4 linked regions of the Drosophila melanogaster genome follow. The protein of the gene in region 1 interacts with the protein of each later gene in a pairwise test. Each region holds a gene or a part of one and is shown on either strand. Other genes may lie near its edges.

Region 1 (4,378 bases):
AGTCCTTTCAGGGAAATTGTGGCTCAATTTTGGTATTTGCAGGGTCATTGGACCGCCTTGGTTGCACTGATCTTCACCATTTTCTGGATGGTTATAATCATAGTTTTGATGGCGGGTATCTATAGGCGAAAACTGGGACTGGTACGATTCTGGTTGGTGTTCACCTGCTTGGGAATACTTCTAGATGGATTTATACTGCTCTACGGCCTGACCTTGGCCATATCTGTGAACTGGGAAGGTGTCAAAATCACAGTGCTGCCCTTCGTAGGACTGGGTAGGTCTAAATAATAATTAGCGTATTTAATTTACTGAATATATAATTGAATTTCCTTTTAGCCGTGGAAATGACTTTTGTCTATATCATATACCTACTTTATCTGGATATGATTGATTACAGTGCAACAGAAACGCCTCCCGATGAGAAGTATAGAGAAAGGAGTGGCTGTGATGTGAAATACGCTGAGGAAGAGGAAAAGCCACTGGATCGCAAGGATCTGAAACGGATGGAAAAACAAGCCAAGGAGCGTATGAAAAAAGATAAAGCCGTTCTCAAAAAACTTCAGAAACAAATGCGAAAGTGAAGGTATTAAGTGTTTAAAGTATTGATTTTTATATTTTTAAAATAAACATGAAATTGAATGCATTGATTTGAACTTTTCTTTTTGTCTGAGACAAGCTCTTTAACTTTTATCACACGCAGGATGCGGACCACTCACACCTACACAAGCCACTCACACACACACACACAAGAACGCCAATGTTAAACACAAAATCCTTTTAAAATAATTTGCTCAGCAGTGAGTAAAGAAAAAATCTAGAGATACAAATGCAGCTAAACGAATTCGAAGAGTTGCATGCCCTGTAGATAAATAATATATTTTTAATATTTTTACAAACTTGTCTTTTAATATTTTAGCTATAAAATAAATATATATAACCCTTCATTTTACGTTGTTGAGCTGCTGTCTGAAGGTCTGAAAAAACCCATCTTCATTGGTTGTGACGGAGAGTTTTTAACTATTTTTCCCCTGCTATTTTGGTTTTGAATAGGTCTTTTGGTTTCGCCATAATTAAAATGATGCCTTTGGTGACTGTGTTCTCTTTCATAATCCATACAAGCTTCCTGTTGTGCTATTTTTGTGGCTATAGCCTTATGACAGGCTTGGCAAAAGGCCAAAGTCACGTAGAACCGTTGAACGATGTATAGAAAAATGCACTCCACAACTGATAGAAAAATATAAAGTTAATTTTAAGGTGATACTTCTAATATTGCACTCACTCAATCCCACCATGAGTAATAGTCCATTTTTGACCAGACCCATTTGGAAGGAGCTCTCGTTGAAAACGGCATACAACACCAGGCACATCTCGACCATGATTCCCACGCAGGAGAAGATAATCCAGGCACGAACACAACTAGGATGGCGCTGTAATTAAGCGAAGGATACCATTACACTGTCACCGTGAGCCACCTTTTTAAATACGAATATACCCCATGAATGCCAACCAGCAGCATCACAATCATTGTTATCCAAAAGAGGCCAAAAATAGCGGCAAAAATTGTTAGCCAACTTAGCTGGAAAAATGTGAGAAGATTTCTGAAGATTTTCTACTGTATATAAAGATTTAAAGGGTAGCCTTACGTGTTCGCAAATTGTCTTCAAACTGACCATGGAAAAAAGCAATGCGCTGATCAGATCAAAGCATCCTATAGCATAGGCCCATATCAACAGCGATTTCTTGCTGGAGATCATATCGAAAAATGAAAACATTATTTGTGGCAGTTGAAGATAGGAACATATGATCAGTTCAATGAGTGTATAACTAATGATTGTGTAAATAGATAATACAAGTATATTTTTAAGCCGTTTTCTTCAAATTTGCTAGTACATTTATAAATAATTAATTTTGAAATGTATAGATAGAGCATATTTAACAATTACTTAAAATCTTTCTTCATATTTAGGGTATATTTTAATATGTTTTTTTAGCTCAGCTAAACAAATTACTACGTTGTTCGATCACACTCCACACACGGTATCAAAACGGAAACGGAAATGACAGCCAAGTTCCGCTGCTATGGTTGTCGCATCTATTTATGCAGGGAAAAAATGAGACATACCACCGTATAGTGTACGTAAGTATATAAGCATATACCCATGCATATAATGCCACGCTGATGAAATACGTGCGGCGTCGGCTCACGCAAACACACACACACACATAGCCACTGCTCTTACCCTGTGTGTGAGTGAGCGTGTGTGTGGTAGTGAGTGTGAGTAAGAACGAGGGGAATCCCCGTTGACAAATATAATTTTACTTTTTTCGCGCTCATTTGCAACTTGGGCGAAAAAGTGGGAGCACATTTTGATCCCCGGGGTGCGACAAAGCCTTTTTAAACATCTCACTTCCAGTTCAAGTTTTTCCAACAGAAGCAACAGGAAACTTGAGTAGAGATGGAACCGTAATGGAGGCTCAGTTTCTTTAAAATAAATTATGGCACTTTAACAAATGTATTTATCAAACTTAAGCTTGAAAATTGTAAAAAAAAGGTTCTTAAATAAATGAAATCTATCAAGCTTAAGATTTTTATTTGTATTTCTTTAACTCCAGTTTGTTCGCATTTCCTATTGAGCAATCTTATTTCAGACCCTATTTATTTTTCGGTACACTGCTAAATTTGTCATATAAAATGTTTTTAAAAACCATTAAGTATCAACTAAAACCATAGTGATTGGACAAGAAAAAGTTGAAGGTGATGAATGCTTTGAATGCTTTTGGAATGGCCATCGGCTGGATGGACATTGCGGGAGTTTTGTTCTTCGAAATGATAATGTTCTATATGATGCGACGTCGTCGATTGGCACAAAAATCAGAAGTTGCATCGATTGAAGCACAAGAGAAGTGCCATAGAGATTCATTGCCCAGTAAGTGCACTCAATAAAGGTACTCAAATGCAGTGTTCTAACCAATTTATGTACTCGAGATCTCTTGACAAGGAAAAAGCTGAGTGAAAGCGAAAACATTTGGATATTCTGGGGCTACCTGTTGATGCTGAATATTTGGATTGGGGTCACTCTGCTCATGATAGCTGGCATCTCATTTGTGGGTGAAAAGTATCCCGTTGAGTCTCATCAACTCCGTTCCATTCATTCTCTTCGTATTTTCAGCAAAAACCGGAGCTTATGACATTATGGTTGATATGGTGCGCCTGTGGTTTGGTCTTCGATGTCTTCCTCATTTTGTGGTGGGTCTACGAACTTTTTGTGGGCGACGCTATTGAGGCACTGACCAACATTTTGATCTCCCTGCTGACCATGGGTACGTTTTCTGCCTTAAATTAGTTACTAACTTTATTATCTTTGTGGCTTTTATTTGATAGCAATTGAGTTTGGCTTCATCTATGTTATCTACACCATCTTCTTGAACTTGTCCAATGCCACGAAAAATGAAGAGACCAAAGTGGCAGAAAAATCTAGATATCATTTTATGATGATTTCAGATCAGAAGAGATAAATTCAAATATGTTTGTGTTATATTCATAAATTTCATTTAAAAGTTTCAAAAATATTACGTCTATATTAATATCTCCATATTGACATGATTTAATTACAGTTTTCTATACAACAGATGCGTCTTGACCGGGTCATAGGTCATCGTTCATACGGCGCCAGACAGAAAACCATATTTTGTATCTGTTGTGCCGACTCTTGTTTCTCGTTTTCCTGTACTTCATCTGCTTCTTTCGAGGGCTTTTGTAGTTTTTAATGGTCTGCAGCACGGAAATTGATTCATTTCCGTTTCATGCTCTGCGCTTCCGGTCTTGTCTGCTCTCGTTCCTCCTACGCCGCTTTAAGTTTTCCAGATCTCAGCTGCTCGTATTGAAATCAAATTCAAGCTGTTTTAGTCCTAATTCGGCATCTAATTCCATTTGTCCGGGCTTTGGAACAAAGTGCGTGGATTGTCAACTTGTCACTTGCAACGCGATGCCAAAGTGAAAAGCAAAATATTTCTTCTTTATTAAACATTGCTGGAAGTCCGTTTATTTTCAAACTTTTTTATTTTTTATATACGTATATTTCTCTGTTTTTTTTTTTGCGGGTTTCTTTGGTCTCCAAGCGCTCACATTGGTCGTCCTCGAAGGAGCGACTGGCTGCTCAAATTTATTGTTTGCAAATTGAAATTCTTGTCGACACGCACGAGCAAATCCATTGGGAATGCACAGCATAGCGCAGAATTTCAGCATCTCAGCTCTGCTCAGCTCGTCAGCGTCATAGTCATAGTCAGAATTTCGGATTGGGACGGCAGAATGGTGGGGGCGTGGCACTGGTACGGGATTTGATGGCTTTTGTGTGCCCGGGCAGCAGCTCATCATGGC
Region 2 (4,348 bases), 6.3 Mb from region 1:
ACGGCCGCGTGCGAGGCATCCGTGTTATGCCAGAGTTCGATGCCCCTGCCCATGTGGGTGAGGGCTGGCAGCACAAGAACATGACCGCCTGCTTCAATGCCCAGCCATGGAAGTCGTTCTGCGTTGAGCCACCGTGTGGCCAACTCGATCCCACTGTGAACGAAATGTACGATGTGCTGGAGGACATTTACGGCACCATGTTCGATCAGTTCAACCCGGATATCTTCCACATGGGCGGCGATGAAGTGTCAACCAGCTGCTGGAACAGCAGCCAGCCCATCCAGCAGTGGATGAAGAAACAGGGTTGGGGCCTGGAGACCGCCGACTTTATGCGCTTGTGGGGACACTTCCAGACGGAGGCTCTTGGTCGCGTGGACAAGGTGGCCAATGGTACGCACACGCCCATCATTCTGTGGACTAGTGGACTCACTGAGGAGCCCTTCATTGACGAGTATCTGAACCCAGAGCGTTACATCATTCAGATCTGGACCACTGGTGTAGATCCGAAGGTAAAGAAGATTCTGGAGCGGGGCTACAAGATCATTGTGTCCAACTACGATGCCCTGTACTTGGATTGCGGCGGAGCTGGCTGGGTGACCGATGGAAACAACTGGTGCTCCCCCTACATTGGCTGGCAGAAGGTGTACGACAATAGTTTGAAATCCATTGCCGGCGACTACGAGCATCATGTATTGGGCGCGGAGGGAGCCATTTGGTCAGAGCAGATCGACGAGCACACACTGGACAACCGCTTCTGGCCCAGGGCCAGTGCCCTGGCCGAACGACTTTGGTCAAATCCTGCCGAAGGTTGGCGCCAGGCGGAGTCACGTCTGCTGCTCCACCGCCAGCGACTGGTGGACAATGGTCTGGGCGCAGAGGCCATGCAGCCGCAGTGGTGCCTGCAAAACGAGCACGAGTGTCCCATTGACGCGTACGATGCACAAGTTTGACCAGCTATTAAACCATTTCTCTTAACGGTCGCTATCCTTGTAGATGTAGTCGGGGCAGCGGGCGGCTTGGGTTGATCGTCCTGTTGCTTCTCACAACGCTCTCTGCCTGAAAATAAAGTACAGCTCAAAGGTGGCCTTACGCAAGTGACTTGTCGTTTATTTTGTTAAATATAAATGAGATTATTGGCCCTGCTCTGCGCCCTTTTCCGATTCAAAGCGGCAGAATGTCGGAAATAGTGAGGGAAATCCGTACAGACTCGACGATTTTTTCGAATATGAACAGTAGCAGAGTTGGACATTTTACGCTTCAATGTGTGGGGTGAGGATTTGCGAGTGATGGTGTCCTCGGCCTCAAGCATAAACTCCTTGGACTCCTGATTATGTACGTAATGAGTCTAGATACTAAAAGCTGCGTTCCCTTGTGCAATAATTTGAATGGAAGCTTTACTCATTCCACTCTTCCTCGTTGCGTCCAAACTTGTAGACCAAACTGGCGAACAGGATGAAGACGTTTTGCATCAGCAGAGCCACGCCAAACCAGCCATCCTTCTTTTCTGAAAAACGATAAGTGGGTGCAATTCAGCTAAGGAATCCTTAAATATCTGTTTATTTCTCACCATTGTTGATGAAGTCGTCGATCATCACCCAGATGGCGGCAATGATGGAGGCAAAACCCATTAGGAAGCCCACAAGCAGCCAGATCTTCGCTATCCTGGCGCCGGACTCCGATGAGTTCTCATCAGAAATCTGCGCACAAACAAAAGAAGTGAGTCACTTGTTAAGCCCAATGATAAGTGTGTGTTACATGTTCTCCCTTCACTGCGTTCACCATGCAGAAGCTGATGGTCCCGAAGATGCCGATGAAGACGTGTCCTGTGGTAATCTGGTGCTTGCCGTCGATGGACATGGCATCGATTAGAACCCACCATCCTGCGAAAAACTAAGGAGAAAAAGTTGCACTGTCAGGCGGGCGGCTCTTTGTTTGCGGGTGTTAGCCTACCAGAAGTCCGGCTATTATGGAGGTGTTCCTGTTCCTGGACGCATCCCCCGTGAAATGCAACGCAATATTGTCCAACACGCCCATTGTTTAGGTTTTAAAACGTAATTAAATTTATTCCACTCTTAAATCTTCTTGTTTTGACGCACAGGGTTGTCTGTCTGCAGGTGAATACAGGGTTTCTTCACTCGCTGTAGCAACCCTGTTTCAGTATTTAGTGTGTTCACACCTGAACTGCAGCAGTAACATATACTTTTTGTGTAACACAAATTAACTCCGTTATAAAAAGAAAGTTGCTGTTAATTAAATATTTTGTGCAATAATTTGTGCAAACATTTAAATGTTTAACTTTAAAATTACTGCTTATGCAGTTTGTTGTTGTTTTTTAGTACGTTAAAGGCACGACGTCTTTTTCAGAAAGTCCAATACGGTCACACACAACTTCACGTTTAACAAAATTTAATTGATTTCCTTATTATTTAACAACCGATCGCAGCGACACGAGTGGGTGCGTGTTGTCAGTTATAGTAAGAGATTGCAAAGGAATCCTAACCAGAATGCTAGTCATAAACTCATGCAGAGCTGCCTCCAGATTGGCGCTACGCAGCCTCAATTTGCGATCGCCGATCGCAACGCGTACTTTCTCGACGGGATTGGCCCTGAAAACGAAAGATGTGTGAGTATCTTCTCCACCCCACGAGCACTACAATGGTAGCTCCACACCGCCAGAGCAGCGTAAACATTGACCAATCTCGCTATTGCAGTGTTAACATAACCTTCGTGCGTGCCAATGGGGACAAGATTAAGACGTCCGGAAAAGTGGGTGACTCCCTGCTGGACGTGGTGGTCAACAACAATGTGGATCTGGATGGTTTCGGGGCCTGTGAGGGCACGCTGACCTGCTCCACCTGCCACCTGATCTTCAAGACCAGCGATTTCGAGAAACTGCCCGACAAACCCGGTGATGAGGAGCTGGACATGCTGGATTTGGCGTACGAACTGACGGACACCTCGCGGCTGGGCTGCCAGATCACCCTGTCCAAGGATATGGAGGGCCTGGAGGTACATGTGCCCTCCACCATCAATGACGCACGTGCCGCGTAGATAGACACCACCACTGTTATCAATTGTTACAAATTTGAGTGCTAATTCGCTTTAGTTCAACCTAGATGTAGTCAATATTTTTGAACGAAATCGTATGTATTGTCCCAGGGACACAAACCTCAGGCGGCTATAATGGATGCGCGCATTAATCCGATTCCAGTTGCGGATTAGCGTCCGCTGTTGTTTTTAAAGTGTTTAAGCTCAAAGGGATTAGATCAATATGTAAATAAGTGTGTTGCAATAAATTTACATGTATTTTCGTACTTCTCTTGGTTTTATTGAAACTGTGGAGGAAAGCATCCAGCGTAGATATCATTTTTAACCAATAATTCATTTGCCTTTTTAATTCTATTGGCAAAACTAGCCGATTTTAAATCGGTCATTCTTGTTTTTTAAATATCTCAGCTAAAAAGTGTTTTTCTGCGTGTATTCATGATCTCGAAGTTGTGCTCGGCAAATAAACAGGCACACGCAAAGATTTTCCTCGGCATCATAGTTCTAATAAAAGTGTGTAGTATACTTTTGAACACAGGTTTATGATCATTAGTTAGCAAATTCAAGATGATCGTATTTTATATTCCTATTTGCCTCGCTTGTATGACAATGCGAACCATATTATTCTTTATTCTATTCATTCGTTTTGCCAAACTTGTTTTGTTTATACCAAAACTTCCAGTCACGGCCAACACAAGGGCTGTTATCAAAGCCCCCCACACAAACATTTCATCACACTGATAAAGTTTGCATTAGCTTTGTTTGCGTTTCCTTATCAGTCGTTCCCAAGCTCCGATAATCAGAGGTACTATTAGAACGCATTAAAACACTTGTCGCTTAATAAAAGTAAACTTTTTATTATTTCGCAGCTATCAAATAAAGTAATAAATAAATAATTTAATATATACATTTGCTATATTAACTTATTGTAAACGATTTTCTGCCTTTCCATGTTTGCCGCTTCATTACTTCGTTTGTGTTTATTTTCTCGATATTATTAACTTGCATATTGTAACATTCGAGGCTAATCTGTTCGTTCAGATGGCCTCAAATCCCGCGTAGGTATAACTGAAACTTAACAAGTCTGACAATTCAATTTCGCTTTGCCTAAAACTAGGGAAACATATGAAGGATAGAGCGTAGTGGTAAAGTAGGAAACCATTTGAAAGTGGCGGATTGTGGGATCTCAATAAATAACCAAAGAATAAATAGTTATGGGATGGGGGGTGCCTATGGGGAATGGGTTTGGAATGAGTGTTTCTGAAGTGCACATAAAACTGATTTGGTTTTCTGTTCACGCCGA
Region 3 (3,981 bases), about 12 Mb from region 1:
TTTCTCGTTGAAACGCTGCATCAACTTCTGGGGATCATCCACTCGGGGGACCTAAAAAAGCCACTGTATTAGGAGCAAGAACAAATGTGGGTTAGGTGGCTTACCTCATAGTTCTGTGAGACATAGATTCCCGTATACACCCCGGCGCCAAAAGTTAACTGGAATGGAGAAAGGAGGATTATTAGAGTGGGTTGTGAAAATCTTCCTGAAGATGTCTATTTCGCATGCTGACCGTCGAGAAACATATTACTCGCTTGAAAGTCCAAAAGCGTTTTTTGGGACAGCACGGCAATGGCTGGCGAACTTCCGGTGGGCAAGTTTTCGCAGAGCGACTCTGCCCGCCAGTTTTGAGCCTCAAAACCTGCGCCCCAAGTCCAAGCAGTTTCATTTTAACTTCCAGTCTATATAAACGATCAATTTGGTGAGGCCTGTGTTGTTTTTCAAAGAGTCCGAATCTGTTTACTCATGGCTTGAGCGGTCATGGTCGACATAATTTCCAACGACTAGGTGATTATTTTATTTTTGTGGATATTTGAATTTGTGAGGCCTTATATAACGTTGAACCAAAAGTCACTTATGTATGTATTCAAACAGCGCACACTGGGAAGTAAACTCAAATTGAACCAATTTTGGAATCTATTTAACTGGTGTTTTGGCGCACTTTCTACCGTTTTACCAATCCACTCTTGTTTTATCCGAGCAAGAATATTTTGAATTTTGCTTAAACTTTTAATACTATTTTTTTATTTGTTGAAGTTAGATATTGGGAAGGTATTTTCAAATGTATTACATTTTGTCATTTATATTAATCATTAATATTTAATCAAATAATTGGTTTTGATTTTGAACCCCTAGACAACACATTTCACCACTGTGCAGGGGCGCGTCATCGCCGCGAAAAGCAACACAACCACAAAAACCACAGAAAAGTTGTATCTCGTATCTGATATGATTTCAGGTGTGAATCATAAACTTAAAAACATCAGGAAACCGGAAAACTTACCAGAAACTTGAGCATAGTGGAATAGTTAAAGGAGCCTTTGTCACCCGCAGCCGCCAGCGTGAGAGTCTTAGCAAAAGTGAGAGAATGTGAAAAAGAAACGTCAAACGACGCTGCTTCGGCGCTTCGTCTGCAGCTGCTCGGAATCTGAAAACAGCTGACTGGCCCACTGCGATTTGTGTTTGTATGGTTAGGTAATCGTATTTGGCTGACTCTGATAACTATGGAGTTAAGTTACTGCCTTTCGAGCACTGAACTTTTACTTCAATTTATGTACATGCATATGCATATGTATTAACAATTATTAGTTTGCGGTCACCGACGACGAGCTCCTCGGTGGACGGGCGTAAGTGAAACTGAAACAAGGGCAATCGCAATTAAAAACTGAACGCAAAACGGCCAAAAATAAAACATGTTGGTGGATGCCGCCTTCTCTAATATACATATGCACATATTTACATATTGAAGTGCCTCTGCTACGGTTTTTACCGTTTCCTAGTGCCCTTTTTTAATCAACCGCCAAAGCGCTAGACGGTTTTCAACACTACCACCAACGACCGTAATTCGGATACATTTTGTCCCCAAATCTCAAATTCCCAGGAACTGCACTTGAACAGCAGGGTGTTGTTCGTGTCATGGAAAATCCACTTTATGTAAAACATGCTTTTTGGATGGACGAACTGTGATTTAATTGTACTATTAAGGCTATATGTCTTTACAACGATTCAATTGCACTGACCACGACTATAAACTACATTTTATGACTACATTAGGCCAAGACCGCGGGGCGGGTCTTCAAGTAGACGAACAGCACCAGAAAGACCGCCAAAACGCCGAGCGCCGGCAGCACCACGGTGCGGATCTTCGCCTGGGTCTCCAGGTTGTCCAGCTTGCGCTCCTTCTTCTGTTTGCGCGTCTCCTTCACCTTTCCCTTCAGCTGGCGCATCTTTATCACTGATAGTTTTTGCGATAGTTCCTTTAATCTGGTGACGTGTAACACTCGTCGGAATGTGTGTGCGTGGAGCAACAAAACAGAGAGCTGGCCTTCTTTCGTTCAACAAGTTGTTTCTGGGCCAAAGAAGAAGAAGAAACGTTCGACTGGGCTGGCTAAAAGCAGGCAGCTTTTGACTGTCGACAGTGCTGCTTATTTCATGCAGTTTCTGGTCGGGTTACTCTGATGACACGTCCGGCCGACTAGTGTTGAACAATGTCTCTGGGACGGAAGCGCGCGTTTAAAAAAGTCTTTATAATTAAATAACGCATTTCATAAGTTAGAAAGCCATCAATTAACCTGGGGCTGTATTTGCCTCCATCTGAACATAAAAATGTCGTAGCAAGTTGTACAAAATTCACTTGCCAGTCAATAGTGAATACTTTATTTACCCAAACAAAATATAAAATAAATATAGTTTAAAAGAAAATAAAGCCGACTGAATAAATTTTTGACTGCAGGCGAAAGTCAAAAACGTATATGCATATATGTGAGTATAGACGTTGTCCAAAGATAACGAAACAACGATACATTACAATAAATATTACAAAATTCTTGCAACGAATAAAATCTCACTCGAATTTAGTCAGATTAAAAGTAAATCGTAGTCAAAATATTTGAATGTTTTTCTATCTGCTTCAGAGGTATTTTTTTATACCAAGCATCGAAAATTCGAAAGAGTACCTTTTACTAGTAATTGAAAGTTTTCTATTATTCAAAAATGATATTTATACATTATTATAGCTATTGGTTTTGGGTTGGTTTTTGTCAATGCTGCACAGCTTCTGTTCTTCCTCAGGCGGTACTAAACGGAGGCGGAGAGAACCGCGTTTCAATTTTGCTTTGTATTGACCGCTGGCATGGCGCTGCGGAAGAATCTAACCCATATTTTTCTTTAACTGGCCTGCCGCCCCTTTAAGCCCTTTAACTGCACCCGAGGCCGTCGAAACAAGATACGCCAGCAACTGTTGCACCTTCACCTCTGAATGCGATTTCGAAAATGTTTGAGCAGTTCGCAATACTCCCAGGGGTCGGGTCTATGCCACGCAGTCACTGCTTGGGCTTCTGCCGCGAGTGCTGGACACTATGGATATTGTGGACACCGGACGTGCTGGATAAGCTGGCCGCTGCACACTTGATGAAGCAATAACAATGCAGACCGCTGGCCGGCAACCGTGGCCGAGTGGCCAATCAGTCGGGACGCACTGCCAAGTTTGTGCATTGGTAATGAAGCCTGGCGAGCCAACGCACATTTCGGCATCTAATTTTGCCCATTACCATAAACGGCAACCCGATCAGTTTGGACACGGATTATTGGCAACTATTTAGCCGGCCCCTAAAGGCCTAGACCTGCCAGCCCGGGCGAGTCCTCACGTTACATACAGATTGGCCTCAATGCGCACGCGGCTGTCCGAAAGTCGTGTTCCCGTCCAGGTCCAATCTTAGTTTCCTGGTTCTGGCCAGCGCTTACACGACCATCATACACGGCCTGTTCGTTAGCTCGCTGGCCAGCTATGTGTGATGGCCAGTCCGCTGATTGGCCAGGCCGCCGTCCGTCAGCCCGGTCCACCTGTCCGTCCTTGGGGCCGGGAGACCAACTCTTAGCTAAACCCCTTGTTTTGATTGCCAACTCGTAAAATGATGGATTACCGAGTTGGGATTTATTTCTTGTTACGGTCATAATAGATTATCGTTGCTCACTCATTGTCAGAGCTGCCCCCCCCCCCCCCCCCGAGCCACCTCTATCTAAACGGCAAGCAGCCAGAATTGCTGTCTTCGGAGGATTTGGCGTTTTGATGGAGCATGGCTTCGTCGAATGGCCTCCGATCGCACTATTCGAATGATCAAACGAACAATTAAACGCAAGTACCACAGGCAACTTAGAAGTAATTTTAGTGGTAGCACTTCTTAATTTACAAACAAGCTAGGATCGAAGTTAAAATGTAATACGCAATGCACTTCTAACCATCTGGCCTATGTTCAGGATACG
Region 4 (5,287 bases), on another chromosome or scaffold:
AAGTCTTAGGGACTTATGGATATGTCACTATATATATGTAGTTACATATTCATTCTTCATATTAAATTCTTTAACCGATCTTTCAAAGCGCTTCACTCTTCGAAGACTGTTTTTTATCGATAATTTAAGCTTTATATTGTTTAATGGTATGATTCTGCACTATGAGTCTTTTAAAGATTAAAGTTTTTCAAAAGTTCGGCTTAAGTTTCTCATATCGAGATTGAATATGTCACATCCCCGCCTTTTAGATGGTCGCTTGGCCTCAAGGGTATAATTGTGGTACCGTATTTTCAATGTCTAATATTGCAGTATTTTTTCAATAACTATTTTAATATTTTTGTTCACTTTTTTACATATTTTAGGTTTTAGAGAGGTTATTATAATGTTAGTTGGCGCTGTCTTGCATTTCGTATAAAAATAAAATATGAAATTATTATGTTTGCATATGTTAACTTAATCATTTCTTTTACTTAAGCTTTTGTTATATTGCGCTTGGCAAATATTAGGTATTGTTAAATATTATTTCATTTTGAAATGTCTTTTAACTTTGCTGTACGTACAACTGAATACTTTTATAATTTTGTTATTGTCAATTAAAATGTCTTGATTTTCACAATTTGTATTAAATTTTTCTTCAGTTATATTCCACGTTATGAGTATATAAGATTTAATGTATTAAATATAAAATGGTTTCCGACTATTCTGGGAAGTACAAGTTGTTGTTTCGTTTTTAATTATAAATGGTTGTAGAAATGTGAGACATTAGAAATATTTCGTTAGTAGCGGTTTTATACCAAGGTTGTTGTGCTTTAGAAGTTTTGAACTAAATATTCCAACTTCATCCTCTTCGAGTTATTGGGTAAAATGTTAAATATTAAAAGGGAGATTTTTCGTTACTTTTCTAAAGATTTTGAGTGGGTATTTTTAATTGCAATACCGTTATTATGACTGTAACGTTATTCTTGCTTTTGTTCAATATTTTGTCTGTTGTGTTCAGCCAGTGTACCAGAATTATATTTGAAAGCGAAGCCGGGATGATAAATAAATATATTTAGCTTTAAAGAGATTTATGTGATTTTCTTTAAAATTAAACAGTCCTTGTTTTTCGCGTTTTGTTGTTCATTTCTCTTTTCATTCTCTTTTTCATACTCGTAGAGTAAAAGGGTATACTAGATTCCTTGAAAATTATGAAACAGGCAAAAACAAGAGTTTTCTGATCAGGATCAAAAGCGAGTCGATCTAGCCCTGTCTGTTTGTCCGTATGAACGTCGAGATATGAGGAACTATAAATGCTAGAAGGTTGAGATTCATACAGGTTCTAGAGACATAGACGCAGAGCATTGTTGCCACGCCCACTCTAACGCCCACAAGCCGAACAAAACTGCCACGATCACTTTTTTGAAAAGATTATGGGTATTTTTTCATAATTTTATTAGTCCTGTAAATTTCTACATAACTGATTGCCACGACCACTCTAACGCCCCAAAGGCGCAGAAAGTTGTCACGCCCACACTTTTGAAAAATGTTTAGATTTTCTTCGTTTTATTATTTGCCTTGACAATTTTTATCTGTTTACCAAAAACACTGGCCACGCCTTTCACCTAAAAAACATCCAAAAGGGTCACGTCCACACTTTTGAAAAATTGCTTAATATTTTTTCATAATTTTTTTAGTCCTGTAAATTTTAATCGATTTGCAAGAATCTTTTTGCCACGCCCATATAAACGCCCTAAAGCCGCCGAACCGGCCACGCCCAATTAACCTTTTTTTTCTTTTCATTCCCCAATATCCACCCATATCCCAGAAAAATTATGATATTTCCCCTCGCATTCACACTACTATAACATTCTCTCTTCTTTATAATTAATAGCAGATATACTGCTGATATATTAAATTTAAACCATTTATATATTAGTTGAAATGTAAATAAGTAATTCGATGATAGATACTAACTTGCCAAACACTGTAAAATATTTAATAACATACAGATCTGCGGAATTGATTGTTATGCCCCAGACAAAGAAATTCGTTTGCCTTGAACCAAGTCATTTGCAGATGCGACTTGGAACGGGCGCTAGAATCTGCCTGTAAAACTTGAAAAGTGGTTAATGAAACATTTAACACTTCCCTTGTAGCCCACATAATTCTCTAAAAACCAGTTTCTATGCTAATAATCCCCATGACTTGTCAGACAACAATCGCACAGAGCTCTTTGATGTGAAAATGAACAATGTGCGACAAGCCTTGAATAGCTTCCGCTTTATCTATACCTGGATTAACTTAAGAAACAGTTCTCCCAATTCATCGCAAATTAGTCACTTAATTATAGAAATTTACTCATTTGCGAACATTGCTGGGGCTGCGTTATTTGAGTTGACAAAAAATAGATTTTCACCGAACTAATTGGTGGGGGAAATGGGGGTGCGATAGGAGTATCCAGGTTTTGGTGTCGTCAAGATGGGTGGTTGTGTTACGGATGTGGTGCTCTCTATTGGGATCACTGAAGTGGTAGTGGCTGGTGGCTCGGGATGTATTGTGGGGATCGGCGTTTCGACAAAACTTTCTGTTGTTGTCGAGTAAAAAAGTTGAGTAGTCCTACTAGATTCATCCGGAGTAAAGTCTGTGTTTACCTCGGTGGTATGGTGTGTCACAGGCCTTTCGGTGGTGCTCGTGGCGCTTGTGGGGCCAAATAAATTGACAGACTTATTGAAACCAATACGGAACCCCCCGGAAGAAGACTTGGTCTGTAGCACGCTGTTCAACAGTTGAATTTTTGATGAGATAAGACCAGAGATAAGCTGACTGGTGAAAGGCGATGCTCCCACTGTATTTTGGTAACTGGCACTGGAGTAGCCTGTGGAGAAAGAAGTAACACTAAAGTTTGTAATTTACCCCAAACAGCAAATAATATACCACCGCTGGGAGCGAAAACCTTAATAAGGACAGGTTTTCCTTCTGCAATGATGGCCCCACTGAGGGCGATAAGAACACCAATCGATATAGTTTTCAACATGCTGTTGGCGACTACTTTATGACTAGAAGTGGATAGCCCGCGTTCGCTTTTATAGCGTTCTTCGAAAAAGTCTCCGTTGTTATTGTTGCCTTTTGATGGCTCAAGCTGAAAGAGGGTTGTACGACAAGCACTTTGCTTGATGCTAGACCTCAAGTGGTTAGCATACACACTTGTGCCCCTAGATGAAGCCACCGCTGTTATAACTTGGTGAGTATTAGATAAGTAAACGAGGAGCTATAAATTATTACTAATGCGTTTAGCTTTTTATCTAAACAACAATCAAACAGATATATTTGGTTTTAAAACGAACGTAAATCATAAAACTAAATTTTCAATTTTGTTCATGTTTTCATGTTATTTTTTCATTTCAGTTACTCAGCTAGTCGAAATGCGAACCCGAAATTTCATCATTTTTCAGGGATATCAATCGATATTGTTTTAAAAAGTGAGTGCGTAGCCGTTTTGACCGTTTTGTAGGTGTAAGGAGGGTCGTGACCAAAGTGTATTCCCATAGAAATTGGCAAGCAAACAACAAAACGAAAACAAATTTATTATATTCATTGAAAGTATGTAATAGATGTAGACCATATAAAGTCTATATATTTCTGATCTGGCCCTGTCCGTCTGTCTGTTCCTCCGTCCGTATCCACCTCGAGATCTCAGGAACATTAAAAGCTATAATGTTAAGAATAAGAATACTGATTCTAATAACATAGACGTATCACAAGTTTGTTGACCCATATTGCCACTCCCGTAAACCGACCAGAACTGTCACGCCCACACATTTGAAAAATATTTTTATATTTTTTCATATTTCATATTAGTCTTCCAAATTTCTAACGACTTGCTAAAAAAAACTTTTTACCACGCACACTCTAACACCCACAAACCGCCCATTTTTTTCTCATTATATTCTTCGTTAGAGTAGGTGGGTCAGCAAACTTCTGCTGCTTATATGTTTTTGGAATCTGTATGCTTACCTTTTAATTTCTCTTAGCCTATCATGACCAACATGGAGGCATATTGGTAATCAATTTTCTTAAACATCGATCCACAGGCTTGAAAAGAAAGTTTTTGAACTAAAAGTGGATTAAAAAAAATTCCAAAATATCTTTGCTAACTGCTGTGTGTTGCCAGTTCCGGTAAAGTACTTACGTGTAGAATAATTTTGGTTTTACTTTTATTCGTCCCAATATATGGGCCTATAAGTTTAAGGAAATGTTCGTGCTTCCGTTATTTTATCTCATAAAAATATGCTTTATTTCAATCAATTATTTTTATTTTTAATTCCGGTCATATATAGTTACTGTCTACACTTTAATCAAGTGTCTCGTTTTACCTATGTTTTGATTACATCATTATGTTAGTATAGGATTAGTTTTTAGTGTTGCGTATTTCAAAAAAGTCCCGTAGCGCTGTTAGGTGTATGAGCTAAACCAATTTATTTTTAACTTGAGATTTAAACATGAGTTTTACCTAGTTTCAACATAATACCTATACTACGTTGTAGATAATGTAATCCTTCTTCATTCGAATGTTCATTCTTAAAGTTCACTTTTTCGCACTTTAGGATCCAAATGGCAGACAAAAGAAGATTAATTTCAGCTAAAAGCGAGTTAAACATAGCTCTAGCTGATTTGTTTCATTAATTTTTATTATTTTTATGGTTATCATTAAAAAATAAATAAAAAATAAAATAAATAGTAAAATAACTTAATATGCAATTACTATCATGAATTCAGTTGTTTTTTGCTTGGCCTAGAAAAAGCATACGAAATTAAAGAAACCCCTATACGAAAATTTGTTCATTAAATGTAAAGGGCCACGCACACAATTTCTGGGTTCTTAAAGATATAGTCAAGTCAAAGACACTAGAATTCTAGTTTATTCTAGTGTCTTTGGTCAAGTGTAAGTCAATGCACAAAAACAGCCTTTCTCCGTTTAGGAGTTACCAAAAAAAACCTATAAAAATATATAATTTTTGGTATTATATAAGATACCCAATATAAAAACACAAACTAAATATCTTTATCCTTTCAGTACCATTCAGCAAAAGACACTAGAATAATTATTCTAATGTCTTTGATTCAGCCCATAGTGTCTTTTTTTATACTAAATTCGTTGAAATGTATGTAACAGGCAGAATGAAGCGTTATCGACTATATAAAGTGTATATATTCTTGATCAGAATCAATACTCGAGTCGATCTGCCCATGACCGTCTGTCCGTATCAACGTCGAGATCTCAGAAACTATAAAAGCTAGAAGGTTGAGA

Evidence for each region.
Region 2: the proteins of CG34238 (region 1) and CG15012 interact in a two-hybrid assay, tested with the Drosophila melanogaster proteins (one large-scale study listed by BioGRID).
Region 3: the proteins of CG34238 (region 1) and CG33169 interact in a two-hybrid assay, tested with the Drosophila melanogaster proteins (one large-scale study listed by BioGRID).
Region 4: the proteins of CG34238 (region 1) and CG40198 interact in a two-hybrid assay, tested with the Drosophila melanogaster proteins (one large-scale study listed by BioGRID).

What each region holds. Positions count from the first base shown.
Region 1 is NT_037436.4:10,623,944-10,628,321, reverse strand, and holds CG34238 (uncharacterized protein), read right to left. Parts: upstream 1,824-4,378; 5' UTR 1,755-1,823; coding exon 1,644-1,754; intron 1,577-1,643; coding exon 1,493-1,576; intron 1,428-1,492; coding exon 1,280-1,427; intron 1,225-1,279; coding exon 947-1,224; 3' UTR 883-946; downstream 1-882. Other genes in the region: CG14151 (uncharacterized protein), read left to right, coding at 43-274, 337-581; CG43127 (uncharacterized protein), read left to right, coding at 2,759-2,927, 2,987-3,105, 3,171-3,321, 3,383-3,516.
Region 2 is NT_037436.4:4,290,120-4,294,467, forward strand, and holds CG15012 (uncharacterized protein), read right to left. Parts: upstream 2,128-4,348; 5' UTR 2,035-2,127; coding exon 1,951-2,034; intron 1,891-1,950; coding exon 1,756-1,890; intron 1,698-1,755; coding exon 1,568-1,697; intron 1,505-1,567; coding exon 1,395-1,504; 3' UTR 1,089-1,394; downstream 1-1,088. Other genes in the region: Hexo1 (hexosaminidase 1), read left to right, coding at 1-931, 994-1,060; Fdx2 (ferredoxin 2), read left to right, coding at 2,505-2,623, 2,712-3,051.
Region 3 is NT_037436.4:22,861,948-22,865,928, reverse strand, and holds CG33169 (uncharacterized protein), read right to left. Parts: upstream 2,066-3,981; 5' UTR 1,947-2,065; coding exon 1,770-1,946; 3' UTR 1,433-1,769; downstream 1-1,432. Other genes in the region: CG33170 (uncharacterized protein), read right to left, coding at 1-51, 105-158, 233-388.
Region 4 is NT_033777.3:4,159,195-4,164,481, forward strand, and holds CG40198 (uncharacterized protein), read right to left. Parts: upstream 3,042-5,287; 5' UTR 3,014-3,041; coding exon 2,914-3,013; intron 2,855-2,913; coding exon 2,400-2,854; 3' UTR 1,416-2,399; downstream 1-1,415.